Linked DNA regions of Elephas maximus indicus. The protein of the gene in region 1 binds, or shares a complex with, the protein of each later gene. Links are inferred from orthologs where the notes say so. Each region holds a gene or a part of one and is shown in the gene's direction. Other genes may lie near its edges.

Region 1 (7,963 bases):
TCAGGGATGTGACCTGGTAAGGGTGTTCCGATCCCACCCTAAACCTCTTTAACATAAAATTAAAATCACAAAATGGAGGACAACCACAGAGTACTGGGAATCATGGCCTAACCAAGTTGATACACACATTTCTGGGGGACATAATTCAATCCGTGACAAGCACTGTGGGGGTTCTGCCTTACTGGGGCTGCCATGACAAAGTACCGCCAACCAGGCGACTTAAAACAACAGCGCTTGATTCTCACACAGCTCTGGAGACCAGAAGTCCAAAATCCAGGGCTAAGCTCCCTCTGAAAGCTCTAGCGGAGGAGCCTTCCTCGTCTCTTCCAGCTTCTGGCAATTGCCGGCAACCCTTGGCATTCCTTGACTTCCGCGGGGCCATCTTCCCTCTGAGTCTGTCTGTCTGTGTCTTTTCTCATAAGGACACCAGTCACTGGGTTAGGCTCCACCATACTCAAGTATGGCCTCATCTGAACTTGATCATATCTACAAAGACCCTGTGTCCAAACAAGGTCACGGTCGCAGGTACTGGGGGTGGTTACAATTTGACATATCTTTTGGGGGGATACAATTCAACCCCCGCACCATCCATGTCACCCAGCTCCCAGCTAAGACCACCCCTCACTTGCACCCAAGCCCTCTGGCTCACCCAGGGCTCCAGCAGTCCTCACCCCTCCCTGTGGATTTCTCCCTCCAGAGTGGAGTCCCTGGGTGGTGCAGTTAATGCACTCAGCCACTAACAGAAAGTTTGGGGGTTCGAGTCTACCCAGAGGTGCCTTGGAAGAAAGACATCTGAAAAATCAACCACTGAAAACCTGTGGAGCACAGTTGTTCTCTGACACACATGGGGTCACCATGACTCAGGGGCAACTCCACAGAAGCTTCTTTTTTTTTTTTTAACTGGGTCATCACCCCAGCACATAAAACTCTATTTCCCCCATCTTCACTCCTCCTGCTGCAGCATCACTCCCTGCTGTCCCCCTTTGTAGCCGTGTTTCCCCTTCCTGTCCTGGCAGAGTCCTATCCAGCCAGCCCCAGGGTCTGCTTTGGTCAGGGTCACAGGGCCACTCAGCCAAGCCCCACTTGCTCCATCTCAGGCCTCCAAGGGCTTGGCAGCTCAACAGCTGTCTTAGTCATCTATTGCTGCTATAACAGAAATACCACAAGTGAATGGCTTTAACAAAGAGAAATTTATTCTCTGACAGTCTAGGAGGCTAGAAGTCTGAATTCAGGGTGTCAACTCCAGGGGAAGTCTTTCTCTTTCTGTCGGCTCTGGAGAAAGGTCTTTGAGATCAGTCTTCCCTTGGCCTGGGAGCTTCTCAGCGCAGCAGCCCCCAGGGGCTCTCCTTGCTTGGTGGTGTGAGATCTCTCTGTGGCTCTGCTCTTCCCTCTTTTATATCTCAAAAGAGATTGACTCAGAATACGACCTTACCTTGTAGATTGGGTCCTGCCTCATTAACATAACAGCCTCTAATCCTGCCTCATTAACATCACAGACTTTAGGATTTACAACACATAGGATAATCACATCAGATCACAAAACCGTGGACAACCACACAACACTGAGAATCCTGGCCTATCCAAATTGACACACATTTTGGGGCCAGGGACATATGAAGGTCTCTCCCTCCTCCTGGAGACACCACCTTCCCCTGGCTCCAGGGCACCTGGCAACCTCCTCCCTTGTTTGCTTGTCTCCTTTATTTTATTTAATGAGCACTTAGGTAACTCAGGAGCCCTGGTGGCACAGTGGTTAAGAGCTCAGCTGCTAACCAAAAGGTTGGCAGTTCGAATCCACCAACTAGTCCTTGGAAACCTTATGGGACAGTTCTACTCTGTTCTATAGATTCGACTTGACGGTTGTGGATTCGGTTTTGGGTTGCTAACTCAGGTGATGCAGGTCTAAGCAGTCTGCAATTATCGGCCATTACCGCCCAATGAAAGCAGCCCTGTTGGTGCAAGCGTTAAGCGCTCGGCCGATAACTGAAAGATCAGCGGTTCGAACCCACCCAGGGACTCACTGGAGAAAGACCTGATGATCTACTTCCGTAAAGATTACAGCCTAACCTCTAGAGTACAGCCCCCCGGACACCCTTGTAACTCAGTACTGAAGCCACTCCCGAAATTCACCCTTCAGCCAAAGAGTAGACAGGTCTATAAAATAAACAATAATAACACACGCGAGGACCGTGCTTTGTAGTTTAATAATGTATACAAGACTAAAGGGTCCGCACAAGCCCAAAAGCGAAGGCAGGAAGGGACAGGAAAAGTAGACAAATGGAAACGGGGAACCTGGGGTGGAGAAGGGGGCAGTGTTGACACATTGAGGGGTTGGCAACCAATGTCACAAGACAATGTGTATTTATTGTTTAATGAGAAGCCTATTTGCTCTGTAAACTTTTACCTAAAGTACAAAAAAAAAAAAGCCTAGAAAACCTCACGTGGTGGCTATGAGTCAGAATCTACTGACAGCGCCTAACAACAACAGTTACCCGATGAAGTGGGTACTGTACCATGGGCCGAGGAGGGGTGCTGAGGCACAGGGAGGTGAAGCCACGGGCCTGAGAGCACACAGTCAAGTCGCAGTCCCAGAGGCTCCCGTGACTCTCATCCCTGACCCCTCCTTCTGTTCCATTCTCACACCCAGTGACCCTGCTCAGGCCACAGGGTCCTCCCCCTCAGCATTGCTGCCTTCCCTGGGGTGGGGGCCGTCCTGGGCACTGCAGCGTGTTGAGCAACATCCCTGGCCTCCACCCACTTGGTACCAGTAGCACCCCATTCAGTTGCGACAACAAATGTTCCCTGAGGTTGCCAAGTGTCCCCTGGGGGCAGAAACGCCCAGGATGAGAACCTCGACTCTGAACTCCCCTGCTCCCCGGTGCACACTCCGAGCCAGCCACACTCACCTCCTGGATGCCAACACACGAGGCCAGTCCTGCCTCAGGGGCTTTGCACGGGCTTTTAACCTCTGCCCGGTACACCCTCCCCCAGACACCTGCGTGGCTCCCTCCCTCTTCTCCTTCGAGTTTTTGCTTAAATCTCTCCTCCCTGCCTTCCCTGACCTCTGCCTTCAATGCTGCAAGCTTTCTCATCCGCCATCTCCTTTACCCTGGTCTGCTTTTTTCATAGCAGTATCAGCTTCAGACATATTTTATCATTCACATGTTATGTTCAGTGCTTGTGATCCTGTGTCCCCTGGAACATCAGGGACTCCTGGTCTGTTTTATTCACTATCTCTGTGTTTCTTGGGTCCCTGGGTGGTGCAGTCTGCACTTGGCTCCTAATCTAAAGGTTGGCAGTTTGCACCCACTCAGTGATACTGCAGAAGAAAGGCCTGGCCACCTGCTTCAGTAAAAGCTGAACCAAACCATTGCTGCTGAGTCGATTCCGACTCATAGCGACGCTATAGGACAGAGTAGAACTGCTCCATACGGAGACCTGGTGGTGCAGTGCTTAAAGAGTTTGGCTGCTAATCAGAAAGTTGCTAGTTTGAATCCATCTGCCACTCCTTGGAAACCCTGTGGTTGGACACGACAGCAGTATTTTTTTAATAGGATTTCCAAGGCCGTGATCTTTACGGAAGCAGACTGCCACATCTTTTTCCTGCACAGCTGCTGGTGAGTTCCGAATGACCTTTCTGTTAGCAGCTGGGTGCTTAACTACTGAGCCGCCGGGGCTCCTTTGGTAAAGGCCAAGAAAGCCCTGTTGAACAGTTCTCCTCTGTAACATGTGTGCTGCCAGGTGGAGACCCCAGGTTCTGCTTGGTGTGACTTGCTGCAGCCAATAAACAAGAGGCCAAGGTGGGAGATGAGAAAGATGCCTTTATTTCATTGCTCAAGGATAGGAGCCATGGGGGCTGCTGCCTCCAAGACTGCTCCCAGGCAGCTTGGGGAGGTGGGCTTTTATACAAAGCAGACAAGGAAATGCAAATTTATTATGAATATTCAGGATTGACCTTCACACAGGCGTTCAGAGTTTGGGGATGACTATGCATTTTCTCTAGACAGGGTTCCATTCTCCGGAATGGAGGAAGAGGTTGATTTTCTTCTACTAGGATGTTAAGTCTCCCCCCAGAGGCGGATTGAAGCCATCTATGGCCCGTTCTGTGGTTATCTTGTCAAGGACAGTTTCAGAATTTGCAGCTTATTCTGCTCGCTGTAGGACGATAAGCCAGAGCAGGTGTTTGTCTCTTAGATGGGTTGGGCTCTGAGGTTGTCTGCCTCACATGGGGCCACCTAGCCGGACCCAATTCTACACCAACAGGTTTCGGTGCTGTTTAGCGACTGAATGGAATGAATCGCTGAATAAGTTACTGATCACCTTCAGTGTGGCAGGCGCGGGGCTGGGCGAGCCTCCTTGATGAGCTCGGGGGCTTGATGTGGAGGTCTGTCAAGACCCACTAGGTCTGGGGGCCATGGGGCACCCAGGCGGAGGCCGGACCGAGAGCCAGGGGAGAGGGCCAGGTTGAAGCGGAGGTGGGAGGCTTTGCCAGGCTCTTCCCAAACACGACCATCTTTTTAGATCCTCACTTAACCCTCTAAAACAGGGGCATTTATTATTTCCATTATAAAGACGTGGAAACTGAGTCTCGGGCGGAGCCCTGGAGCCACCATGCGGAGAGGACCCCAGACACTTGGACGCACACATATTTGTGGAGCACTTTCTAGACTACCCGACTGTGCCCGAGAGCCTGGCAGGCCCCCGAGCCCGTCCGGGCCTCCGTTTCCCTATCTGTACCCGGCCTCTCCCTCGCGAGATTCTAAACAGCCGCCCGACAGCTGGGCGTTGAGCGGAAACTACAACTCCCGAGAGGCCTTGCGGCTCAAGCATCGCGAGAACTGCAGGCGGTGGTGGGCGGTGATATTTGCAAGTCTCTGTTAGGGAGCAGCCAAACACCGCTTTCGGAAGGTTCGGGCTGCCCTCGGACCTGCCGGTTCCAGAGGTCGGTGCTTTCAGGCGTTCGCTGAGGCCAGCCCTGCACGGAGTGGACTAGGGGTGGCTTAGCGCAGGCGCAGTGCGCGCGGGTCCTGACTGGCGCAGGCGCAGCGCGTCGACTCCGAGAAGCGAAGCAGCCATGGACGACGAGGAGGAGACGTACCGGCTGTGGAAGATCCGCAAGACCATCATGCAGGTGAGGAGCGCGGGGCGGGGGGATGCCCCTGTTTAGAGAATGGGGTCACGGCGGGCCTACCTGCGCCAGGTGAGCCGAGCGCGCAACGGTCTGGTGGTTCCTGGAGGTGGGAAGGAGCGTGGCGTCTCCCCCTCCCTCATCCCCTGTGGCTGGATCGGGGGGTCCCCAAGGCCACCCCAGACCCTCGTTGCTGGGTCTGCCCCAGGGGCGCTGCCTTATGTGCCCTGAGCTCAGCGGCGGGACACCTGCTTTGGGGCGGGCAGGGCGAGGGTCACAGTACGCCGAGGTTGGGGTCTTCCAGAGGACTGAGGGACCCCACAGACCAGCGGCCGAGGGGAGAAGCTGAGAGGTCCCGGGGGGGGGGTCGGGTGTGGGCGGGAGTTGGGGTTGGGGAGTGTGAAGGGCTAGAGAAGGAGGTGACAAGTGGCGACAAAGAACGGGGGCATTCTTGGAGGGCCCCTGCTCCGCCCCAGTCACGAGCTGCACTTTTTGTTGCTTTATCCTGAACCTGAGGGTCAGGGCGGGTTGTGATTGGGAAGCGGCGGCAGAGCTGGGGTTTGAGCTCGGGGGTGTTGAGTCCAGAGCCGGTGCCGTGAGGTCCGGAGCAGATGAAGACAGAGCTGGGAGGGGACGTCCTGGGCAGACCGTCCCTGAAGGCCAGTAATTGTGGATCTCACCCCAGAAATCAGGGCTATTTGAGCAGATGGTTCTAGAAAAGGACCTAGATGGAGAAAGGGAAGGTCAGGGCTGTGAGCTAGTCCTGATCTCCTCCCCGGTCCCTCTGTGAAGTTCCCCGGCAGCTTCATTCTCTCTCCTGAGTGCCTGCCCACACTAGGGTCTCAGCCTGAAGTCGCAGCTATTCTGGCCTCCGTCTTCAGGGTGGCTTTGCAAAGGGGTTGAGAGGCTGGGCTCATCTGCTCAGGTGTAGGCCTGGCAGGACTCCCAGGGGCCAGGTGGTCTTGGTCTAGATCCTTGCCTCCTGGGCCACAGTTGGAGGTTGCCAACAAGGCGCAAATCACAGACAGGCACTGGAACCACGCTTTACTCACACAGATGAGACAGCAGAGTCAGCTTCAGTTGTGGTCTCCAGTCTCCCATGGCCAGTGAGTCCCCTCATAGCCAGTACAGAGCACATGTCCGACACGCACTCCTCTTGTGCTGCAACTGAGAGACCCCGTTTCCTGTTCTCCAAGAACAGTTGGGTTGGCCAGGTGCTATAAGGAAATTCTGGTGGCGTGCGTAGTGGTTAAATGCTACCTTGGCAGTTCAAATCAACCAGGCACTCCTTGGAAACTCTATGAGGCAGTTCTACTCTGTCCTAGAGGGTCACTATGTGTCAGAATCAACTTGACAGCAATGGGTTTGGTTTTTTGTTTGTTTGTTTGCATGAACAGCAACAGAGAAAGTTAGAGTGTGCCCAGAACTGGGAGGGAGGCTCCCCTGATGAGGAAGAGAAACTGGGAGGGAGGGAGAGAGAGACCCAGTTACAGTCTCCGTATCAGGGAATGCTCTGGGCCCATGGCCTCTGCTTAAGCAGCCCAGGAAGCAGGCATGAAATCAGCCTGTCTCCCCACAGGGGCTCACACTGGTCCCAGCCCATGGGGTGGCCATGGGATTAGAGGGTGACCGTGTTCATCCACTTCGCTATGACTTCTCTGTCCTGTCTCCCTGACTGGCCTAAGGCTGGTGGCTGAGGTGTGCCCACCCTGTGTCCTCCACAGCCAGCATTTGAATCGCTGCGACCATGCCTGACACCAGGGTGTGTGCACTCAGGCATGCTGTGGCTCTCCTCACCCTGAGGTCCTGGGCCCTTCTCTCTGCAGTTGTGTCACGACCGTGGTTACCTGGTGACGCAGGACGAGCTGGACCAGACACTAGAGGAGTTCAAAGCCCAGTTTGGAGACAAACCGAGTGAAGGGCGGCCACGGCGCACGGACCTCACCGTGCTGGTGGCCCACAATGATGACCCCACTGACCAGATGTTCGTCTTCTTCCCAGGTGAGGGCCCTGGTGGGTGTACACAGCTTCCCATCCCTGAGGTTCCTGAGGGATCCCCAAAGGACCACGTTTCTGGTGGGGTTGTTGGAGCACCTACTTAGGTGCAGCTTCTAGCATCTGCCTGTGTGTGGCCCTCCAACCCGGACTGGGGAGAGAGCTCCCTGCCTCTCCACGCTGTGCTGTTGACCTCTGACCCCTCTGACAGTCTCTTCACGTACCCACCACCTGCTCCAGTTTCCCTCTGATCAGTCGCTTCTGTCTCCCTTGACTGTGTCCTTGTTGTGTCCTCCCAGCAGGACTCTCCCAGAGGCATCCCGCCTAGGCCCTTGCTCCCTCCTGTCTGTTCCCTCCTGACGGCTCTTTCCTGTCCTGCTGCCCACCTCCTGGGATGGCGTTCCAGCCTCCTGGCCTAGCAGCCAGGCTCCCTCCACATGAGCTCAGCTCCCTGCTTCCGCTCTTCCTGCACCTCTGAGTGCCCCCCCCTTTCCCAGCAGAACTCAGCTCCCCTCCTCCTGTGTGCCCACCACACCAGCTGTCTGCATCCTAGTTCTGGGGTGACAGTATACGGGGACCCTCAGCAGCACTGTGGGTCTCAGGCTTCTGCCCTCAGTCTAGCCGAGCAGTGGAGGCCAGTGTCAGAGACATTGAGTCTGACCTTTGGGAGGCACCCTGGCTCTGCCCTGGACAGCCACCTGGTGCCAGAGAGAGAAGGAGCTCTGCCTTCCAGAGCATCGAAGGCGCCTTTGGTCCCAGAAGCCTCTGCGATGAGCCAGGAAGGACAAGAATTCACCCCACACCTTCCCCAGGCCCTGTTTCTAGTCACCGAGTCACACA
Region 2 (7,986 bases), on another chromosome or scaffold:
GATGTTTATACATGCTATTTCATTTTTGATAAATTCCAATTTTCCTAGATTCATACTTCGTACATCCCACATTCTGGTTATTAACGGATGCTTACAACTGTTTCTTCTCATTTTGAGTCATGCAAATAAAAGTCCTGAAAGCTTGACTCTATCCATGTCATTAAAGTTGACCCTACTCTGAGAAAGATCTTCCCCAGTTGTATTCTGAGTGTCTCCCAAAATGAGGGGCCAATCTTCTGGCACTATATCAGACAATGTTCTGCTGCTATTCATAAGGTTTTCGCTGGCCAGTTTTTAGAAGGAAATCACCACGTCCTTCTTCCTAGACTTTCTTAGTCTGGAAGCTCTGCTGAAACCTTTCCACCATGGGTGACTGTGGTAGTATTTGAAATACCAGTAGCAGAGCTTTCAGTATCACAGCACCATGTAAGCTACCACAGTACGAAAACTGACAGAAGAGTGGTGATCACACCCAAGAGGATGGCTATTATCAAAAAAAAAAAAAAGGAAAATAACAAGTGTAGGCAAGTATGTGGAGAAACTGGAATCCTCATCTACTGCCGCTGAGAATGTAAAATGGCGCAGCTGCTTTGGCAAACAATTTGGTGGTTCCTTAAGAAGTTCAACATAGAATTACCATATGACCTACCAATTCCACACCTAGGTTAAATACCCTAAAGACTTGAAAGCAGGGACTCAAATATATTTGTACACCAAAGTCCACTGCGGCATCATGCCCAATAGCAAAAAGGTGGAATAGTTCAATTCGTCCATCAACAGAGAAATGCATAAACAAAACGTGATGCATAAAAATAACGGAATATTATTCAGCCATAAAGAGAAATGAAATTCTGATACATGCTCTGACACGGATGAACCTTGAAAATATTATGCCGAATGAATTAAGTCAGCCACTCATTTCTAGTTGCCATCGAGTTGATTCTGACTCATATGGACACTATAGGACAGAGGAGAACTGCCCATGGTGTTTCCAAGGAGCAGCTGGTGGATTCCAACCGCCAACCTTTTGGTTAGCAGCCAAGCTCTTAACCACTGCGCCACCAAAACCCTTTGCCATCAAGTCGATTTTGACTCAGAGTGGCCCGACAGGACAGAGAAGAATTGCCCCATAAAGTTTCCAAGGAGTGCCTGGTGGATTTAAACTGCTGACCCTTTGGTTAGCAGACATAGCACTTAACCACTACAGCACCTGGGCTCCTCAAAAAGACAAATATATGATCCCACTTCTATGAAATATCCTGAACAGGCAAGTGTGTAGAGACCAAAGTATTAGAGGTAACCATGAGCTGGGGGTGGGGAAAAGGGAGCGTTTGCTTAAGGCCTACTGAGTTCCTACTTGGGATGATGAAAACCTGTTGGGAACAGGTAGTGGTGATGGTTATACAACCCGGTGATATAATCTCACGATTCTCTGCATTGCACGTTTAAAAATAATTAAAATTGCCATGTCTCCATTACATGTATTGTACCACAATAAAACCATTAAAAAAAAAAAAAAAGCCCCCAAAAACTAAACCCTAGTTCCACTCCTATGTGTCCTTGGGTAAGTCACATAGATACTCTAGGTCTTAAGTTTTCTCAGCTGTAAAATAAGGAGGTTAGAGTGGAAGATCCTGAGGAATCCCTAATAGCATCAAGATTCAATTATTAGCTTTACGACTTTGGCCAAGACACACAAGTTCTTTGATCACTGGTTTCCTCATATCTGTAAGATGGAAGGATATCATCTACTTCACAGGGCCGTGTTAAAGACCAAATGATGAAGTGCACGTCCAAGTACCACTATGGGTCTGGTATACAAGTGTCAACAATGCTGCTGTTTGCTGTCAAAGATTTGGCCCCTGACTCATGATGACCCCATGCACAATGGGATGGGACCACTGTGACCCACAGGGTTTTCACTGGCTGATGTCTGGAAGCTCTGCTGAAACCTGTGCAGCACCACAGCAACACACAAGCCTCCAATAACACACAGGTTGTGGCTGCACCTAAAGTGCATTGGCCAGGAATTGAACCCAGGTTTCCCATGGATGACAAGAAATCTACTACTGAACTACCACTGCCCTCTTCAACAAATGTTAATGAGATCTAAATCTATGCTGCAGCAATTCCTAAGACAGCTAAGCATAACAAAAGTCAGGCGTTGAAGAAATGACTGACAAACCAACCAATTACAACGGAGGAAGAACTTCAGGGAGACCCAGGAACATGACAGGAACTGAAGTAGGAAGAGGGAGAGAGTAGGGAGGAGAAGGCCTTCTTCAGAGGGAAAGGCTACCCAGAAGTACGGAATAGAAATGTTCAAAGAGATGATGAGAAACCAACTTGGGACCAGAGTTGGGACCCATTAACTAAAAAGCAGGTTTAGTTAAAAGCTTAAGTCAGGAAGTCATAATAAAAGCAACATGGTCAGAGAAAGTTGGCACAGAGAATGTATATGAGGAAGGAGAGACTTAAAGTAGCAAAACAAAGGAAACCTATAGTGAAACATGACATGTCTTGACATGAAACCATCAAAACCTGAATTAGAGTGGCAACAGGAACAAACAAGGATTCTACTGTCAAGTTCAATATTATGAACTTTACCAACTATTTAGAGCAGGGCATCTCTGCTTTGTCCCCTTATCATACACAGTGCATCAGAGACAAGTCTACACCTGTCATAATGATGGTATAAGAATTCTCAAGGAGGATATTACAATTAACTTTGGCCATAGATTATCATGTAAAATTGCCACCAGAAAAAAGCTCAAAATTAATTGATTTAAAATGTCTAACTACTGGATTAAAGGAGCCCTGCTCAGTGACTGACATCCACCAGCCACTCTGTAGGAGAAAGACCTGGGGATCTGCTCCCATTAAGATTACAGCCTAGGAAACCCTATAGGTCACTTCTACTCTGTCACACAGGGTTGCTACAGGTGGAAATGGATTTGACGGCACACAGCTACATACATACATACACATATACATACATATATTTACATATATACATATAAACCAAAACCAAATCTCTTGCTGTCGAGTCGATTTCAACTCACAGGGACCCTACAGGACAGAGTAGGACTGCCCCATAGGTTTCCAAGGAGCAGCTGGTGGATCCGAACTGCCGATCTTTTGGTTGGCAGCCTACTTCTTAACATACATGTGCGTATACGTATATGTATATGCATGTATGTATACGTGTATATATACACACACACATAGGAAACCCTGGTGGCACAGTGGTTAAGTGCTACGGCTGCTAATCAAGAGGTCGGCAGTTCAAATGTACCAGGCGCTCCTTGGAAACTCTATGGGGCAGTTCTACTCTGTCCTACAGGGTTGCTATGACTCGGAATCGACTCGATGGCAGTGGGTTTTATATATACATGAGCTCTGGTGGTGCAGTGGTTAAGTGTTTGGCTGCTAACCAAAAGGTCAGCAGTTCAAACCCACCAGCCAGTCCTTGGAAACCCTATGGGGCAGCTGTACCCTGGTCTATAGGGTCCCTATGAGTTGGAATTGGCTCGATGGCGATGGGTTTCGTTTTGGTTTGGTATACACACGTACATAACTGATTTTCACATTTATTTTTATACTTTAAAGTATATAGCTATTACGTATACACATATTTTTTTTTTTTGCAATACTATTAAGATGCATGGTGCCTGTACTGCTGCAGCCAGTAACTAAAACCCTGCATATGCCTATGTATGTCACTCACATACTTCTGCCTTAGGACAATGCCTTTCTTCGGTCTTCGCAGTTCAATGCGATACATTATAAAAGATATGCACAGACACAGCCAGTATCCTCATTTAGAATTCAATTAGTATTTGTATTGAATCAAGATTTTAAAGGCATTTAAGAAGTTCAAACTCGATATATATTAGAAAACTGGAAGAAACCACTTAACAAGTCCCATTCAGCAAAGTCTATTCAGTCCTCGATCCCTGTAGGAGAAATCCTAGTATATGTGGAAATAGTTGGCTCGCTCCTTACCCTGATTTCTACATTCCTGGATTTCAAGTTAAAGCGTATCTGAAGTCCCAAATGTTCTACAACAGGAGTAAATATCTTCATCCAGTTCTCTTTCAATGGTGTGTACCTGTTAGCTGGGACTGGAATTTTCCTTGTTTCTTCTTTCCCACCCTACAACAGAAAAGAACACAACTTAGGAGATGTCTGGAAGGGTGGGGATGGAGTTGTAAAATGACAGCTGATCCACAAAAAATCTTCCTTTAAACTGAACGAGTTAAGCCTCCGGAGAGTCACTTCTCCAGAAGAGCACCGCAGCTTCACTATCACCCAGAGGTTTAACCCGTCTCTGGCCCCTGCCCCACTCCTGTCCAGGATCCCGGCCAGTACCAGGAGCCCATCCCCGGAGAGGGGCGGAAAGACGGGCCTCTTCGCCGGCCGGGCCTCCTCCGTGTCCATGCGGACCGCGTCTCCGCTCCCCCCCGACAGCTGCTGAGCCTGCCGCTTCTTCGCCCGCCGGCCACCCCTGCGGGTGACCTGGGTGAAACCGTCCTCGGCCCCGGCGCTCTGTGCCTCCATCCCGCCTTCCATCCCCAGGGATCTCCGGCCCGGCAGGCGCTTCCGCCTCCACCACGTGCGCAGCCGCACGTCGCAGGCGCACCCCGACCACCCTGCGAGCACCACCTGCCCCAGGGCTCCGCCCCCTTCCCAAGAGGTCCCACGCGGGGTCCTCAGCCAGGCTTTTTTAATGTCGGTGGGGGCCATCTTACAATATGCCTGATTCTTATGACCTCCCTCTGGCTGCGCAAGTCACAGATAAAGCATTTTGTAATCTCAAAACTGTATATGTAAAAGAGTCAGTCATAAAAGTGATAAACATATTTGTGTTGTCCCTAAAGGAAAATTTGCGCGCTCTCTGTAGTGTATCTGGCATTATCTTAGATAACTAAATCCAACTAGCGAGGCCCGGGTACGGCAAGCGGGAGAGACAAACTGTCGCTAATGTTTGGGGTCTGGTTTCCAGGTTAGTGTTTGCGCGGGGTTCGGGGCTGGCGGTTGCTGGAGGTGGCATTTCTTGGGCCATGTCGGCCTTTGAGAAGCCTCAGATCATCGCCCATATCCAGAAGAGCCTCAACTACACTGTGTTTGACTGTAAATGGGTGCCATGCAGCGCCAAATTTGTGACCGTGGGCAACTTCGCACGGGGCACCGGCGTCATTCAGCTGTATGAGATCCAGCATGGGGAGCTGAAGCTGCTTCGGGAGGTGGGTGCCGGGTCGAGACTGCCCGATTCCAGGATCTGGGAATGTCCTTAGGGGGACGATTGCCGATCCTGGGCTCTGTATTCTTTGCCCGAAGTCTGCTTGGCATCCGCCCACAACGCAGCTCGAGCTGCGTGAGACTAGCGAAGCTGAGCGCAGACTAAGGAATCTGTCCGACTTAAAACGCTTTCGTTGGAACCCTGAGTTCTCTTCGGCGGGCTAGTTCATCTGCGCCCTGCCGACCCCTTTCTCCAGCCGTCTCCAGCGCAGTCCAGCGCGAGATCTTTGGGAGGTGACGTTAAGAATTCGTGTCTAAGTTCGAGACCCTTTTAGGCAGTTCAGAGTTGTTTGCTGAGAGTCTCTTACTATGCCCGTGTTAATAAAATGCTTTTTCATACCAGCAGAGCCAAAGCGGCGCCTATCCCCCGAACCTGCAGTGTAATTGGAGGAGACAACCTATCACATTTATTCATTCTTTCACCAAGTGTCAGTTGAGGACCTGGTATTCCCAGGCATGTGGATGGCAAGGTCCCCAATCTCACGGAATTTATTTTCTAATAGGGGAGATAGTCAAATAATTAAACCAACGGTGCGTACGTACAAACCGAGATGAGTTCTTTAAAATAAAGGACCACGGTTCTATGAGAGTAAAAACAGATTTGGGATGAGTGGAAGGCGCAGTGGTTAAGCGCCTGGCTGCTAACTGAGAGTTCAGCGGTTGGAACCCACCAGCCATTCATTCTCCTTCAGAGAGATCTGGCAGCCTGCTTCCGTAAAGATTTACAGCCTTGGAAACCCTATGAGGCAGTTTTGCTCTGTCCTGTAGTCCGAATTGACTCGCAAGCACCCAACCAACAACAACACAGAAGCTAAGACAAATTGGGAGTGGAGGATGAGATTTCCAGGAGACACAGCAAATATGGAAGCCCAGAGGTGGAGAGGGTTTTTCACTTAAGAAACAAGAGGGATAAGCACGGACCAGACCTTGCATGATATGTAGGTCATTTAGAGGACTTATGTCTTTATTCAAAGAGAAATGGAATGTCCTTGAAGGGCTTTAAGCAGGGTGTGGCACGATCAGATTTACAAGTTTTTTAAAGATCACTAGTGAAAGAATTAGAAAATAACAGTAACATTTTGTAGCTCTTCACAATTTAAAAAATGCCTTCATTTGGGTTGCCTAAAAAAAAAATCAGGCATTATCAGGTGTTTCGTATTGTAAGAGGCTACAAGTGCAGGAAAGCTTGAAAACTCCAAGAATCAAAAGTTATGGGGAGAATCTGCTTGGAGGAGATGAGGGTTAAACTGGGAAATAAAGGATGAATACAATTTCAGTATGCAAGTTTAGATTAGACAATATGCAAGGCTCCAACCCACTTCAAGTTTCCAGGAGTGCCTGTTTTCTTTTAATGTTGTTTACCACTTAGCCACTAGTCACTTGTTGCTATTCTAAGATCCAGTTCAGGTTATCTTGATTTACAAAGCCTTTCCTGATCCCCACACAGTGGAAGTTTTCTCTACACTGTGTTCCTGTAATACTTATTGCCTGTGCCAGGAACGTATATCCTGTCCTGTATATGTCTGACCAGATCGTAAGCTCTTTTCGAGTGAGGACAGTGCCTTTCTTTAGTGTTGGTAAGGAGCAGCTACTCAATAAATATTTGTTGAAAGAATGAGGAAATGTATGTCTGTAAAGAGGCTTTAAGTTCGGAAACTTAAATATTGGTCTATTGATCATTAATCGACTGGGGATCAGGAGTTTGAACAAACGGGGAATATTGGAAAAGTAGAGAGAAATTTAAAGCTGAAGTATTAGGAGCAAATGCCCAATAGAAGCTCAAGCAGAGAGTATCTACAGACTTGTGATTTTTTAATAAGAATATTTGATTTGTGCACTTTTCAGGGATACACTTATTACATAAAATGAAAGATTGCTCTTTGTCTCCTGTAGAGATTCTGGGGTATTCTAGCAAATTTTAATTTTTTTTTTTTTAATAGTTTTGCTTTTTGAACAGAAGTAATACATCGTCATGATAGAACATTTAGAAAATGTAGCTAGGAGAAAGAAGAATGTTAATATCACCCATGATCTCACTCCAGGAATATCCACTTATTATGTTTTCACCTGTACCTTTTGGGGTCTTCTACTTTTGTTCTATGTAAACTATCCACTGAGAAACTAATATTTCATGGTACTATGCTAAGGAAGGACCAAAGATATTTGAAAGATGAGTCCTTTCCCCTAAGGAGCCTACCCTGTCAAAACAGAGTAAAACAAGCTCAAAAACACATTGAAGAACTTAGATTGTATTTGGCTGTGATGGTGCAATGGGAAAGAAGATAGGTTAAGTATAGGCACCGTGGTTCTCCAGCCTTACTGTGCATCAGGATCATCTGAATGTGTTTCATTACCCTGGTTTTTGGTTTTAAAATATTCATGCTTTGGCCCCACCCTTAGAAAATCTAATACAATGGGTCTGGACTAGGGGAAGGCCTGGAAATCAGTATTTTTAAAACTCCCCCCAGGAGATTCTAATGCATTCCAGGGTTGAGAACCATTGGGCTAGATGAGTTATTTATTAAAATATTAGGAAACGTACCTGATTTAGTCATTGTGAAGCCATCTTAAGTCATGTGTTCCAAATCCCACGCAACCAGGAGAAAAACAAGTGAAGGAAGCAAATGGGTCTTTGTGATGCCTTCCTTGTCTTGTTGGTAAGAGGGTAGACAGGAAATGAAGGGC
Region 3 (7,662 bases), on another chromosome or scaffold:
GGATTGTTGTTGTTGTTAGGTGCCATCGAGTCGGTTCCGACTCATATCGACCCTATGCACAACAGAACGAAACACTGCCTGGTCCTGAGCCATCCTTACAATCGTTATGCTTGAGCTCATTATTGCAGCCACTGTGTCAATCCACCTCGTTGAGGGTCTTCCACTTTTCCGCTGACCCTGTACTCTACCAAGCATGATGTCCTTCTCCAGGGACTGATCCCTCCTGACAACATGTCCAAAGTATGTAAGATGCAGTCTCGCCATCCTTGCCTCTATGGAGCATTCTGGCTGTACTTCTTCTAAGATAGATTTGTTTGTCCTTTTGGCAGTTTTTTTAGTATATTCAATATTCTTCACCACCACCACAATTGAAAGGCGTCAATTCTTCTTCAGTCTTATTCATTGTCCAGCTTTCATATGTATATGATGCGATTGAAAATACCATGGATTGGGTCAGGCACACCCTAGTCTTCAAGGTGACGTCTTTACTCTTCGACACTTTAAAAAAAAGAGGTCCTTTGCAGCAGATTTACCCAATGCAATGTGTCTTTTGATTTCTTGACTGCTGCTTCCATGGCTGTTGATTGTGGATCCAAGTAAAAGGAAATCCTTGTTATAAGGATTAGATGGGATAATATACATAAGATGCATAGCTGAGTGTCTATACAGGCCCTTATGAAGGTGAGGAATCTGGCTGCAATATCTGTCACCTTGTGGGTCTCCCAGTAAATTCGATGGATATTGTTAGGCTGTGTTCTCCTTTTCTCTCCCAGTTCCACAGACATCCATCCCCAAGCTGGAAGATGTTTGGAAAGGACAGGTAGGGAAAAAATTGTTCTTTGCTCAACAGTGTATGAGGACAGGTGCTCAGTAAATTGTTGGGTTTTTCCTCTTTCCCAATTTTATCATTTTTAAATCTTCATGTTTTCCTTTTTTCTCTACCCATTTCTTTGCCATTCTTTCTCCCACAACCCCTGTGTAGCATGCATGCACGCACATAAATTTTAAGGCTTCTTATAACTCATTGATCAAGGCCAAGGCACTAATTCTTTACTCTAAAGTCCACTACTGGAGTCCCCAGGTGTTGCAAATGGTAAATGTGCTTGACTGGTGTCTTAATCATCTAGTGCTGCTATAAGAGGAATACCACCAGTGGATGGCTTTAACAAACAGAATTTTATTCTCTCACAGTCTAGTAGGCTAGAAGTTCAAATTCAGGGCATCAGCTCCAGGGGAAGGCCCTCTCTCTCTCCTTCCGCTCTGGGAGAAGGTCCCTGTTATCAATCTTCTCCGGGTCTAGGAGCTTCTCTGTGCAGGAACCTCAGGTTCAAAGGACCCACTCTACCCCTGGCACTGCTTTCTGGATGGTATGAGGTCCCACTCTCTCTCCCCTCGCTTCTCTCTTTTATCTCTTGTAAGACAAAAGGTGATTCAGGCCACACCCCCAGGAAACTCTGTTTACATTTGATCAGGGATGTGACCTGACTAAAGGTGTTACATCCCACCCTAATCCTCTTTAACATAACCCAATCTTCCCTCATTAACCACAGGCAGAGATTGGGGTTTACAACACTGGCAAATTATATCAATCAGGAAATGGAGGACAACCACACAATATTGGGAATCATGGCCTAACCAAGTTGACACATATTTTTGGGGGACATAATTCAATCCATAACAACTGGTAACCAAAAAGTTGGAGGTTCAAGTCCAGAGGTGCCTTGTAAGAAAGGCCTGGTGATCTACTTCTGGAAAATCAGCCATTGAAAACCCTGTTGAGCACAGTTCTACCCTGACACATGTGGGATCACCATGAGTTGGAGTCAACTCAATAGCAACTGGCAAAGTCCTTTATTAGGGTGCTCCAGGCTACTTTACTACCCTTCTTTCATGGTCTCCTATTTCGATTTATTCCTTCTACTTCATCAAAGCTTAAAGGAGCTTTCTTCATCTGCTTGAACTCTATATGTTTTTGGGCCCTTTCCCAAGTTGTGATTCGAGAATACAGCCTTCCCTTTTAACACACTGCCTGGTTCCTGTCTTTCCTATTAGTTTTTCTAAAGTGATCTCAGAGACCTGATGGCTCTTCCTGGTCCTATGCTGCAGTGATGGGATTTCTTCGATTTTGTGCGTGGGTCTGATGTGTGATTTAATATATTACTTGCCATTCATACAATATCTTACTTCAGTGACTATTCACTCAACCAAAGCCTTTTGAAATGTGACAATGTGTCAAACACCGTGCTAGACATTATAGATATGAATAAATATTTCTGCCTGGGAGGAGCTCATAGCCTAGAAAGCAGAGGCAGGCATGTAAACATGTATATTTTAGTGCAGTGTGTTATGGGTAGGAGCCCTGGTGGCTAGTGGTTAAGTGCTGGTTCAAACTCTGAGGCCGTTCTGTGGGAGAAAGATATGGCAGTATACTTCCGTAAAGATTGCAAACCAAAGGGGGGGAGGGAACTCATTGCTGTGGAATCCGTTCCAACTCATAGTGGCCTTGTAGGACAGAGTACAACTGCCGCATAGGGTTCCCAAGGCTGTAAACCTTTACAAAAGTGCACTGCCACATCTTTCTCACACAGCACCACCAGCGCTCCCCCTTAAAGGTTAGGAAACCATATGGGGCAGTTCGACTCTGTCCTGTAGGGTCACCATGAATCAGAATTGACCCAATGGGCAACATGATTTTTTGGTTTTGTCTTAAGTGCCAGTGAAGTAAGTTAAGTGTCTTTCTTGTGGTGAAAAACAGGTGAAATTGTGCTGTACAGATCAGAAAATAAGCACAAATAAGCCCGTGTGTAACTTGCTTATCGGATAATCCGCCCCTGAGTGTCACACACTGTGATGTGAAGGGAAATGAACTTCCTCTGGGGCGTCGGCAAAAGGTCTCGTAGGAACTGATGTTTCCATTAGTCTTGAAAGATAAATAGAAGTTTATTCGAGGACGGGCTTATGGGAAGACTAGGGGATCCGAGGATAGGAAATCAAGTGTGAAGAGGCTCTGAAATAATTTAGGAAGAGCCTCACGAATTCAGGGAGGTCTGATAGGCTCAGTGTGGTTGTGAAGCCGTCACTGAGGCTTCCCGATCCGCTGCAGTTCCTACCCCCACTTGCAGCCCACCAAGCCTCCTGTCCTAACCGCTGTTTGGCCCCAGTGCGCTGAGGGCACTACCTGAGGCTTGAATTTGGCACCAACACCCCGCGCATGCGCAAACCAAGATCTCGGTGCCCACGCAGGCTCTGAAGAGCCGAGGCCTGGAACTTGACCCCTGATCTGAACTTTGCCAGAGCGGATGTTCTCCAGTACACAGCTGCACCGCAGCCCACTTGTAAAGTGAAAGTTCCCTTCCTTTACAAATAATTCAGCACCTGGATCTCCAAAAATGGACATGGGAGGATGGGGTGTCGGATTTGGGGCACCAATCCCACCCCCTAGGGACTGAAGGGCATAAAAGCTCTAAGCTCCCTTGGGGCTGGTAGCGCGTGGTCTTTTGGCTGCTAGGCCCCGCGTTCCTTGTCTGCACAAACAATAAATTTCCACTTTCTGTTTCCCTTACAACTGGCGGTGTGGCGTCTGTCATATTTCCATCTGCTAACAGGACGGGACAAGAACCCTCACTGGGTTACAGTGGGAAGTGTGGTAGAGTCAGGAGCAGGAGTGCAAAGGAATCAAACGGAGAGGACTCATGAAGCAAGGGGATTGAATTTTATTCTAGGGCCAAGTAGAGAAAAGAAATTTGTTTAAGCAGGGGAGTTCAACAATCAGGTTTGTCTCTTACGTGTTTGTATTGTCACTGACCTAATTAAGTCCAGATTTTGGAATCTAAAGACTGTGCTTACTCAATTATAGGTCCCCAGGGACAGCCTCTGAGTTGAGACACCGCTTTCTTTTCAGGTCTAGAAATGGCATGTTTTCAGATTACCTGGGGCAAATTAATCCAATCCCCATGCCCATTTGTGCTAGTTCACTTCCCGGGAAACTGATATTTGAAGAACTCCAATTTTTACTCTAGTTCTGTCCTTCAAAATGTTGTCTCTCTCTCCTTGGCCAGGGTTGGGCATATACTGACAGCTTCTGTCTCTTTAAATCCCATTGGTTATTCTGTTTTGATGCCCTCTTTCCTCAGTTAGGGAAACATTGGTGGTGTAGTAGTTAAGAACTATGTCTCTAACCAAAAAGTTGGCAGTTCAAAACCACGAGGCGCTCCTTGGAAACTCTACGGGGTAGTTCTACTCTATCCTATAGGGTCCTCATGAGTTGTAATAAACTCAATGGCAATGGGTTTTGTTTTGTTCCTTAGTTATAGGAGCCCTGGTGGTGCAGTGGTTAAAGCGATTGGCTACTAACCAAAAGATCAGGGTTGGAACCCAGTACCCCTGTAAGCTTACAGCCTTGGAAGCCCTATGGGGCCGATCTACTTTGTCCTACAGGGTCATTTTGAACTGAAATTGGCTGGAAGATAATAGGTTGCGATTTGAGTTTCTTTAGTTACGTTGACCTAGTCTTTAAAGGTACTGATGACGTTTTGGCCCGTCCCACCGTACGTTTTAATCAATCAGATAGGGCTTCTCCGGTAGCCACACCCACCCAAGCGCGGGCCGACTGGAAAGTTTGTCCCCAGCAACGCGCCGTACTGACGGTGGCAGTGCGCAGGCGCAGTTCCCGGCCCCCAGCGGCGTGTTCCTTTTTCCTCAGGTTTCCAGCTTCCTGGTAGCTGAGAAACCCTAGCTCCTCAGAGGCCACCTTCCTCCGCGGCTCGCCGGTTGCCCCGGACACTCCTCCGGCAGAAGTCCCCCAGCTGTCGCGGCCGCTGCCCCGGCTGCACGCCTCCACCGGCGACAGACTCATGGCTGAGCGCGGCGAACTCGATCTGACCGGCGCCAAACAGAACACGGGAGTGTGGCTGGTCAAGGTAATGTTCGCGGGACTCCCGCCTGTGCGCCCCCTGATAGAAATAGTTTAAGTGACTTACGATCGTCCCGCTCCGTACGGCTTTTAAAGTTCTTTTATGGCCATCTCATTAGAGCTTCACATACTTGGGGAAGTGTGGTCGTTGTTTTGCCCGTTTGCAGATGAGAAAATTAGTTTAGGGAAGCTGAGTGTCTTTCAGCCAATTGAGAGTCCAAGTATGCCTGGAATGGATCTGTTCCCCACGACCTGGCTTGCCCTGGTGCCCCGTCTGGTGTCCCCGATTTGAGCGGTGCATTTTATCCCACATCGAAGAATTCCTGAATCTTGTTGAAACGGATTTTAGTCTTGAGAGCACGCGGAAGAATCTACTTTCTCGGCCAGAAAGTAGAACGGAAGGTTGCTTACCCTTAAAATTGTTCTTTTAGGATGATGACCTTTAATAGGGCTCTCAGAAGAGTTCTGAACTAATGGGAGAAGAGGTCACTCGACCTTTCTTTTAGAGCACGATTGGGTCTCTTGAGACTGACCGTCAATAAATGTTTTATGTAAAGACTAGTATTGCGTCCTTTTCGTTTGCAGTCTGGGTTAGCCGTTAGCACAGTGTTTGTATTGACTTTTTTTATACTGAGAAGTGTTGTTTTTTGGGGGAGTTTCATAAGACATATGCATGTTCAAACTGTGATCATGACAGTCTTTGAACCTCGCATAAAATGTAGAGATCTTTGGTTTGTTAATGCTTTAGTTTACTGTCTTATCACACGGCCAAGTCCTCATCAGTTAAATATCAGAGAGGTTCTTCCTGTCCACCCCTCTAAAATAGCTCCTTTATGGTGATTTGGTAGCACGTCAAACTTTTGTTATATTCTTCAAAGTGTTTGTCAGAGTCTAAAGTGATTCCGTATTCATGCGTTCAGTGATGGTTACTCCCTGCCCCTCAACACCCACATACACACAATCACATTCCATTAGAACAGGACCCACAATAGTGTTTGGCACATTGGTAATTGCTCAGCAGATATTTGATGAATGAATGCATGATTTCATCCTTCAACCTTATCCTTAGTCTGTGGCACTCATTCGACTTATCTCACAGCCACATCAGCATGACTTAAAACGATCAAGTAAATGGGTGTCTCACTCCCAACTGGAAGAGATTGATTAAGGAGATAATCTGCTTTGTAGGCTAAAGAAAAGAGCTTGAAAAAGTGGTGAGAATGGAGATTATGGTTTTATGCTTGGAGCGCAGTAGATGCACAATAAATGTTGTTTGCCTTACAGGATTTGAATGGGTGGATCGAGCTATAGCATAGTATTCCATAGACCAAAAAATCTGTTGCCAGTGAGTTGATTCTGACTCATAGCGATCCTATAGGAGTGGAACAGAAATACAAGACTGGAAATGCATGTTAACATGATGCGTTCTGGAAAACAAAGAGGAGACTATTATGCCTAGAGCAGAGAGTTTGTGTAAAAAAAGCTTGGGACCATATACCCAAATTGTCATATCGTGAAACGGAGATGTTTTAGCTTTAAGTCAGTTGTTGTTGAGTGGATTCTCTCTTGATTTTAGTCTATAGAAAATGGAGGGTTTTGAGTAAGGCAGGGATGCATAAGATTCTTTTAAAAAGAAAATAAACTTGGCAGTATGCAGTATGCATTAGAGGGTAAGGGTGACCAGAGTCAGAATTCAGAAAGTTACCGCAGTAGCATAGGTATGTATGAGATGATGAAGTCTGAAGAGTTAGGAAAATGTTTTCAGTAAAAAATTGTCAGGATTTGCTGACTATCTTAGGGTACTTTAGAGAAACAGAACCAGACATATACATGTGTAGAGATAGAGAGAGATTGATTTATTTCAAGGAATTGGCTCACGTGATTGTGGGGGCTGCAAGATCAGTTGGTTAGGCAACTGGCTGTAGACTCCTGCACTCCCCAAATCTGCGTGTAGGTCAGGCGTTAAGAAGAGTGAAGAGTAGGAGTGTTCATATCTATTACGGTATGGAAGAGGAGTAGAACTCATCCTAGGGAAGCTTCCCTTTGCTTTTAAGGTCTTTACCTGATTGATTGAGGCCTGCCCACATTATAGAAGGTAATCTGCTTTACTTGAGGCCACCATATGTAATTTATAACAGCAACTAGTCTAGTGTTTTAGCAAACAGCTGGGCACCATAGCCTAGCCAAGTTGACCCATAAAGTTAACCATCAGTCTGACTAAATGAGAATGTGAAAGAACGTAATGAATCTGAAATTGAAGAAGTTAAAAGAATTTTGGTATTCTCCCCATATATGCACATTTGAATACATTTTATCTCTTTTAAAAAAAAAAAATCTTAAGCCGATGATTTGTTCTTGTTATTTCTTGCTTGCAAAATCATTGCTTCCTAGCATCAACTTGGTATGCAGTATTTCTTTTTTTATGTGTCAAGGAAATGAATGGACTTGTAAATACGTCTTTCCTGGGTATGAAAGGAATATGCTGGATATTTTCTCTTTCTTGCCAGTTCTTGTCCTCTGACAACCTTATTTCTGAAAGAGGAAGAGAATTGCTAGCAAATATTTTCTGTTGTAAAATCTGTCTATATCCCGCCTTTATTTGACAACTTTTATTTCTGTTCTAGTAAAAGGCGTCCCAATAGGCAATGGGGTTTGATTTGCACACCTAGCAGATAATATGAACTTGTTTCATTTGCACTGGGGTAAGTATTGAGGGTGATTTTCATGCCCATATCTAGAGAATACTTGGA
Region 4 (7,896 bases), on another chromosome or scaffold:
GGAGAATCTCTTCCCTTGCCTTCTCCAGCATCTAGAAGCTGCCTGAATTCATTGCTTCCTTTCTCCCTTTCATCTTCCAAGCCAGCAACTGCAACCCTCCAACCTCTGCTTCCGTTGTCACATCTCCTCCTCTGATTCTCTTGCCTCACTCTTTTCCTTATAAATAAGGATCCTTGTGATTACATTGGGCTCATCCAGTTAACCTAGAATAATCTTCTCATCTCAAAATCCTTAGATCCTGTGATGGCTAAAGTTGTCTGTCAACTTGGCTGGGCCTTGATCCTCAGTGGTTTGGCAGTTATGATGTAGCTTGGCAGCTTTTTAATGATGTAATCACCTCCATAATGAGATTTGACGTAATATGATCACCTCCATGATGAGATCTGTTGTGCGCAGCCAATCAGTTGAAAGGGATTTTTCTTGGGGGTGTGGCCTGTATCCAATATAGGAGGACTTTCGGGCAAGGCTCACTGGTTTTTGCAAACTATGGATCATGCAGCTGGTTCCTGTTTGTCTGACCTTTGGTTCTTGGGACTTGAGCTAGCAGTTTACCTGCTGTCTTACCTGCCAGTCTTGGGATTTGTCAGCCTCCACAGCCTGTGAGCCAGAGGCCTCCTATCTGATCTTCTGATCTTGGATTTGCCAGCCCCCTGTGACTACGTGAGTCAGGAGAAGCCTCCGTCTTAACCCATGAACTTGAGACTTTCTACCCTGTACAGCCACATGAACAATTTCCATTATATAAATCTCTCTATATATTTATATGCTGCATTGGTTTTGCTTCTCTAGAGAGCCTAGCCTAAGACAACTCCATCACTGATGGGAATGTAAAACGGTGCAGCTCCTGTGAAAAACAGTTTGGCTGTTGTTCTTGTTAGGTGCTGCCGAGTCAGTTCCAACCCATAGCGACCCCATGCACAACAGAACGAAACACTGCCCGGTCCTGCACCATCTTTACAATCATTATGCTTGGGTCCATTGTTGCAGCCACTGTGTCAATCCACCTCGTTGAGGGTCTTCCTCTTTTCCACTGACCTTGTACTTTGCCAAGCATGATGTCCTTCTCCAGGGATTGATCCCTCCTGACAACATGTCCAAAGTGTGTAAGATGCAGTCTCGCCATCCTTGCTTCTAAGGAGCATTCTGGTTGTACTTCTTCCAAGACAGATTTGTTCATTCTTTTGGGAGTCCATGGTATATTCAATATTCCTCACCAACACCACAATTCAAAGGCATCAATTCTTCTTCGGTCTTCCTTATTCATTGTCCAGCTTTCACACGCATACGATGTGATTGAAAATACCATGGCTTGGGTCAGGTGCACCTTAATCTTCAAGGTGACATCTTTGCTCTTCAACACTTTTGAGAGGTCCTTTGCAGCAGATTTGCCCAATGCAATGCATCTTTCGATTTCTCAACTGCTGCTTCCATGGCAGTTGATTGTGGATCCAAGTAAAACGAAATCCTTGACAACTTCAATCTTTTCTCTGCTTATCATGATGTTGCTCATTGGTCCAGTTGGGAGGCTTTTTGTTTTCTTTATGTTGAGGTGTAATCCATACTGAAGTCTGTGGTCTTTGATCTTCATTAGTAAGTGCTTCAAGTACTCTTCACTTTCAGCAAGCAAGGTTGTGTCATCTGCATAACGCAGGTTGTTAATGAGTCTTCCTCCAATCCTGATGCCCCATTCTTCATATGGTCCAGCTTCTCGTATTATTTGCTCAGCATACAGATTGAATAGGTATGGTGAAAGAATACAACCCTGACATACACTTTTCCTAACTTTAGACCAGTCAGTATCCCCTTGTTCTGTCTGAACAACTGCCTCTTGATCTGTGTAAAGGTTCCTCATGAGCACAATTAAGTGTTCTGGAATTTCCATTCTTCGCATTCTTTGGCAGTTCCTTAAAAAACTGAACATAGAACTACCGTATGACCTGGTAATCTCAATCCTAGCTATATTCCAGAAGAAGCAAAGGCAGGAACACACAGAAACCTGTACATCAATGTTCATTGCAGCACTTTTCACAATAGCCAAAAGGTGGAAACAACCAAAATATCCATCAATACATGAATGGAGAAACAAAATGTGGTACATACACACAGTGGAATACCACCCAGCCGTGAATAGAAATGAAGTCCTGATGCACGCCACAACATGGATGAACCTTGAAAACATGCTGAGTGAAATTAGTCAATCATGAAAGGGCAAATATTTGTATGATCTCACTTATATGAGCTCTCTAGAATAGGCAACTATAGAGACCAAAGTTTATTAGTGGTTCCGAGGGACAGGAGAGAGGGGGAAAGAGGGAGTCATTGCTTAGGGAGCATTGAGTTTCTGTGATGGTGATGGAAAATTTGACAATGGATACTGGTGATGGCTGCACAACACAATTAATGTAACTGGCGTCACTAAACTGTACACAGATAAAACATTGAACTGGCAAATGTTGTGTTACATGTATTTTTTACAATTAAGAAAAAAAAAAGTCCCTGCTTTTGTAGAGCTGACATTCCAGTCAGGGAAGGAAATAGACAAAAAAAAAAAAAAAGCAAAATAGCTGTTATATCAGATGGTGATCACTGTTACGGAAAGAAACTAAAGCAGGAGGGGTTACCATAAACTTGGTGGTGTAAAACATCACACATTTATCCTCTTACCTTTCTGGAGGCCAGAAGTCCAAAATCAATCTCACTGGGCCGAGATCAAGATGGCAATAGAGCTGAGCTACTTCCAGGGTCTCTAGGGGAGAATCTGTTTCCTTGCCCTTTCTAGCCTCCAGGATTTCATTCCTTACATTCCTTGGCTTGTGATGCCTTCTTCCATCTTCAGAGCCGTCTGGGTAGCATCTTGCTTCAGTGGTCACATTGCCTTCTGTCTCTTTCCTGCTGGGGAATCTCTTAGAAGAGCTCTTGTGATTATGTTGAGGGCCCCCCTGGATAATCCAGGATCATCTCCCCATCTTAACATTCTGAACTTCATCACATCTGCAAAGTCCTTTTTCTATTTTTGAGAACATGTAGTTTATTGGGATGAGACATTGGTGATGCAGTGGTAGAATTCTCACCTTCCATGCAGGAAACCCGATTCGATTCAATGCCCTGCCAATGTACCTCATGTGCAGCCACCACAGTGGAGGCTGTCACTGAGGCTTGTATGGTGCTATGATGCTAAGCAGGTTTCAGCAGAACTTCCAGACTAAGATGGGCTACGAAGAAAGGCCTGGCAATCTACTTCCAAATATCAGCCAATGACTCCTTTGCCCTGAGACCAGAAGAACTGAATGCTACCCAGTTATCATTAGTGAACATTTTGATCAAAGATTCTGTAGAAGAATTCTGATCAAAAGAGGGGAAATGCAGGACAGAATTTCAAATTGTCATGGAATCCGGACTTCCTGGATCCATGGAGGCTGGATGAAGCCCTGAAACTATTGCCTTGAGATAAACTTTAAACCTTAAAACAAAAATAACCTGTCACCTTCTTCAAGACAGACAATAGGTTAACTAGTAAAGAATGTCTGCTCTGAGCATTGTGCACTTTTAATATCTATCTATATGGGATCAAATTGACAACAGCAACTTGGAAGATTAGATGCAGAAACTTAGGAGGCAATGAGCTTGTGTTACTGGGGGAGAAATAATTCAGAAAAGGAGCTTGAGAATGGCTGCACAACTTGGAGAATGTTATCAATGTCACTGAATTGTACCTGTAGAAATTGTTGAATTTGTATATGCTCTGCTGTGTATATTCTCAACAACAACAACAAAAATAGAATAAATTCTATGGATATAAAAATCAGTCAGTGAAAACCTTGTGAATCACAACAGTTTCATCTACCACTGATTATGGGGGTGATGCAGGACCAGGCAGCGTTTAGTTCCTTCGTGGACGGGGTTGCCAATGTTGGGGGCCAACTCAACGGCAGCTAATAACAACAGTTTATTTGGAAGGTGACTGCTTTTAGAGGGAGTGGAAAAGTGAGACCAGAAGAAAGCTTCTGAAAAGGTATTTTAGACAACTGGGGCTCAGTCCCACTGGGGAGTGCTAAGAGAAAGTGTAGACCTTCACAACTCACAGTGTAGTCTGAAGACCAGATCACTGACACCTCCTGGGAGTGGATAAGAAATGCGGAATCTCAGGCCCACTCCCGCCTCAACAATCCGAATCGGCATTTTAACGAGGTCTCCCGGTAATTCATAACCCCATAACCCGTTGCCATCGAGTAAGTCCCGCTTCATAGTAACCCTAATGGACATAGCAGAACTGTCCCATAGGGTTTCCAAGGCTGCGATCTTTAAGATTGCCACATCTTCCTCCTGCGGAGTGGCTGGTGGGTTGCAACCATTAACAGCTGAGCGTTTAAACACTACATCACCAGGGGTCCTCTAAAGGCTTGTACCAAACCACAAAAAAACCCACCAAACCCACTGCCATCAAGTTGATTCCAACTCATAGCGACAGTATCTGGCAAATAGTAGGTGCTCAATAAATGGATAGTTATTTATTCCACAGGAGTCTAGGACACAGCAGGAACTTTATAAATGTATGCTCGTCTGATGCAGTTAAGCCATTCCTAACATGTGGGCCACCAAGGAGTCTCCAATTTCCCTGTTATTTTCTTCTAGTCTCTATTCTCTGCTGTGACACTTTGGCAGATGCTGGAAAACGAATGTTTTGGGTGAGATCGATTCTCTCGGCTCTCCTCCTTCCATGTTTTGTTCTTTGTCCTCGGTGATCCTCAGCGACGCCTTGGGCACCGCCTATCTCTCCGGAGCCCGCCTGCTCAGGCCTTGCGCATGCGCGCAGTATTCCCACTGGCTCCGCCCCAGTAGCGTCACGGGCGGGATCAGCCAGTGGGATCGTGAGGAAGGTGGGGCGGACGTCCCACGGACCCGGTCTCTCGCTGAATATTCATGAGGGAGGCGGATCGACGCCGCTGCACGCCTTGGCCGGCGCCATGAAGTGAGAGTGGGGCCGGGGACCGCGGCTGGAGAACGGCCGCAGGGGGCTGAAAGATGGGGGGGAGCGTGTGGGGTCCCCAGCAGGGCGAGGGGTGGCTGAAGAGATGGGATGGGGTAACCGCGGGGCCGGCGGGGTGGTAACGGGGATGGTCAGCGGGGAGACCCGGAGGCTCCTTGGGAACTGGCGGGATACCCGGGGGGACCGGCAGGTAACTGCCCTTGGCTCGACGGCCGGAGAGCGCGGGGGCTTGGAGGGGGCCTGAGGGGGAGGACACTGACCCAGCAGCCCCCACCAATAGGCTCAACGTGGACGGCCTGCTGGTCTATTTCCCCTACGACTACATCTACCCGGAGCAGTTCTCCTACATGCTGGAGCTCAAACGCACTCTGGATGCCAAAGTGAGTAGGCCGGGCGGCCGCTGCCTGCTTAACAGGTGGGGCCGTCACGCGTGGGTCTGCGACTGAGGTTGGAGGACGTCTAGATAGCCAAGACCCCAGGATTTTAGAAACCTGAGGTCCTTGGGAATCTAGGACTCCAAAGCCACCTGCCATCTGAAATAATAATAGTTAATAATACCCGTTGCCGTTGATTTCGACTCATAGGGACCCTATAGGACAGAGTAGAACTGCTCCGTGGGGTTTTCAAGAAGCTGGTGGTGGATTATAACTGTCAACCTTTTGGTTAGCAGCCGAGCTCTTAACCACTGTGCCACCAGGACTTCCAGTTAATAATAGTAGCTAAAAAAAAAAAAAAAAAAGTTTTTTTTTTTTTTTAATATTTATTAGGTCAAGCATAGCAACGATTCTGAGAATGGCATAGGATCAGGTAGTTTTCGTTCTGTTGTACATAGGGTCGCTATGAGTCAGAACTCCATAGCACTTAGCAGCAACATTTATTAAAGGCCAGACATCCCGGTGCGTAGAGATCCATAGACACTGGAGCTGGCTCCCTGGATTGAAACCCCGGATTCACAGTCTACCAGCTGTGTGACCTTGGGCAAGTTATTAACCTCCCTGTTCTGGTGCCCCTGTAAAAGGGACATAGTAATAGTACAGTACTTGAAGTCCCTGGGTGGTGCAAATAGGTGACTTGCTCAGCTGTCTAACTGAAAAATTGGAGGTTCAAGTGCACCCAGAGGCACCCTGGGAGAAAGGCCTGGTGACCTACTTCCAAAAAGTCAGCCATTGAAAACCCTGTGAAGCACAGTGCTACCGGGATACACACAGGGTCGGCATGAGTCAGAGTCTACTTGAGGACAACTGCTTTTAATAATGCCTACCTCATAGGTTGTCGTGAGGGTGAAATGGATTAATACAGTAAGGCAGGGGTGGATTTTGACCCCCGGAGAACAATTGGCAATGTCTAGAGATATTCTTCCTCGCCATACTAGTTGTGGGGTGGGGCGCTATTGTTTCTAGTGGGTAGAAGCCAGGGACGCTGCCAAACATTCCACAGTGCAAGGACAGCTGCCCCACAGCTAAGTATTATCCGGCCCCAGATGTCAGTAGAGCAGGATATGAGGCATCTACAGCAGTGCCAGGCACCAAGGAAGTGCTGTGGAAGTGTTTGCTAAGCTGCAGGAAAAAATGGGCTCACTATATATCAGATACCATGGTAAATCATTAGCTTACAATTTGTCGTTAATCTTCACAATCATGATATGAGGAAGACCTTTATGGACCCATTTTAGAGATGAGGATACTGAGGTCCAGAGAGGTGAAGGCACTTGCCTGAAACCACTCAGTAAAGAGGTGGCAGAAGTAGGATTCAACCCCTCTCCCCTCCCGGGTCCAAACTATTAACTACTGTGCTGATGGCAGTCTTCTTGGAGGGAGGGGGGCAGCATCCCTAGAGATTGTGCCCCCAAGGTTCTGAGAGCCTGTATCTTGTCCCTCCTACCCCCAACGCATAGGGTCATGGAGTCCTGGAGATGCCCTCGGGCACTGGGAAGACAGTGTCTCTGTTGGCTCTGATCATGGCGTACCAGCGGGTAAGTGACCCACTGGGCCCATGGAGAGGGTATCGGGTAGAGGCTGGGTGGGGGCTGAGCCTGCTTGTCATTGGCAGGCATATCCGCTGGAGGTGACCAAACTCATCTACTGCTCGAGGACTGTGCCCGAGATTGAGAAGGTGAGCCGGGGTGTCTTAGTTTCCTCGTGCTGCCATAACAGAAATACCACAATTGGGCGGCTTTAAAGAACAGCTATTTATTTTCTCACAGTTCTGGAGGCGAAAAGCCCAGGTCAGGGTCTTGGCCATGTCGATTCCTTCTGCGAAGGTCTCTTACAGTTCTGGTGTATGCTAGCGATTCTTGATGTTCCTTTACTTGTAGGTGATTCTCACACGTCATCTATCTTCCCCTGTGTGTGTGTGAGTTGCTGTGTCTATTCTGGTCTTTTTATAACTCAGGGGTGATTAGGTTTAGGCTCTATCTTGCACTGATATGACCTCAATTGATTGATTAATTACATTAGATTAGATAAGATTATGGAAGTTCATTTCATTAAATTAGGAATCCCTGGGTTGTGCAAATGATTAACACGCTTGGCTGCTAACCAAAAGGTTAGAGGTTCAAGTCCGCCCAGAGGCGCCTCAGAAGAAAGGCCTGGTGACCTGCATCTGAAAAATCAGCCATTGAAAACCTTGTGGAGCAGAGTTGCACTCGGATACACATGGGGGTGCCATGAGTCAGAATCAGCTGGACAGCAACTGATGCTGACCTTAATTACATTACATATATTTTTAACGCGTTAAAAGGCAAAGATGGCACTTTAAGGAGTAAAGTGCACCTGACCCAAGCCATGGTATTTTCAGTTGCCTCATATGCATGCGAAAACTGGGCAATGAATAAAGAAGACCAAAGAAGAATTGATGCGTTTGAATTATGGTGTTGGCGAAGAATGTCGGCCATACCACGGACCGCCAGA

What was found.
Region 2: POLR2E (region 1) and DNAAF10 share a complex: the UniProt entries of both Homo sapiens proteins name them as parts of the PAQosome complex. The link is inferred for Elephas maximus indicus from reciprocal best matches to the Homo sapiens genes POLR2E and DNAAF10.
Region 3: POLR2E (region 1) and GTF2F2 share a complex: the UniProt entries of both Homo sapiens proteins name them as parts of the TBP-based Pol II pre-initiation complex. The link is inferred for Elephas maximus indicus from reciprocal best matches to the Homo sapiens genes POLR2E and GTF2F2.
Region 4: POLR2E (region 1) and ERCC2 share a complex: the UniProt entries of both Homo sapiens proteins name them as parts of the TBP-based Pol II pre-initiation complex. The link is inferred for Elephas maximus indicus from reciprocal best matches to the Homo sapiens genes POLR2E and ERCC2.

What each region holds. Positions count from the first base shown.
Region 1 is NC_064821.1:806,760-814,722, reverse strand, and holds the start of POLR2E (DNA-directed RNA polymerases I, II, and III subunit RPABC1), read left to right. Parts: upstream 1-4,953; 5' UTR 4,954-5,074; coding exon 5,075-5,131; intron 5,132-6,954; coding exon 6,955-7,129; intron 7,130-7,963. UniProt on the Homo sapiens protein: DNA-dependent RNA polymerase catalyzes the transcription of DNA into RNA using the four ribonucleoside triphosphates as substrates.
Region 2 is NC_064835.1:68,212,739-68,220,724, forward strand, and holds the start of DNAAF10 (dynein axonemal assembly factor 10), read left to right. Parts: upstream 1-4,973; 5' UTR 4,974-5,063; coding exon 5,064-5,246; intron 5,247-7,986. Other genes in the region: RNA-binding protein PNO1, read right to left, coding at 4,006-4,155, 4,372-4,572. UniProt on the Homo sapiens protein: Key assembly factor specifically required for the stability of axonemal dynein heavy chains in cytoplasm.
Region 3 is NC_064832.1:35,134,181-35,141,842, reverse strand, and holds the start of GTF2F2 (general transcription factor IIF subunit 2), read left to right. Parts: upstream 1-4,650; 5' UTR 4,651-4,853; coding exon 4,854-4,919; intron 4,920-7,662. UniProt on the Homo sapiens protein: TFIIF is a general transcription initiation factor that binds to RNA polymerase II and helps to recruit it to the initiation complex in collaboration with TFIIB.
Region 4 is NC_064829.1:104,341,731-104,349,626, forward strand, and holds the start of ERCC2 (general transcription and DNA repair factor IIH helicase subunit XPD), read left to right. Parts: upstream 1-4,885; 5' UTR 4,886-4,964; coding exon 4,965-4,969; intron 4,970-5,115; exon of another isoform or gene 5,116-5,177; intron 5,178-5,267; coding exon 5,268-5,367; intron 5,368-6,881; coding exon 6,882-6,959; intron 6,960-7,036; coding exon 7,037-7,099; intron 7,100-7,896. UniProt on the Homo sapiens protein: ATP-dependent 5'-3' DNA helicase. Component of the general transcription and DNA repair factor IIH (TFIIH) core complex, not absolutely essential for minimal transcription in vitro.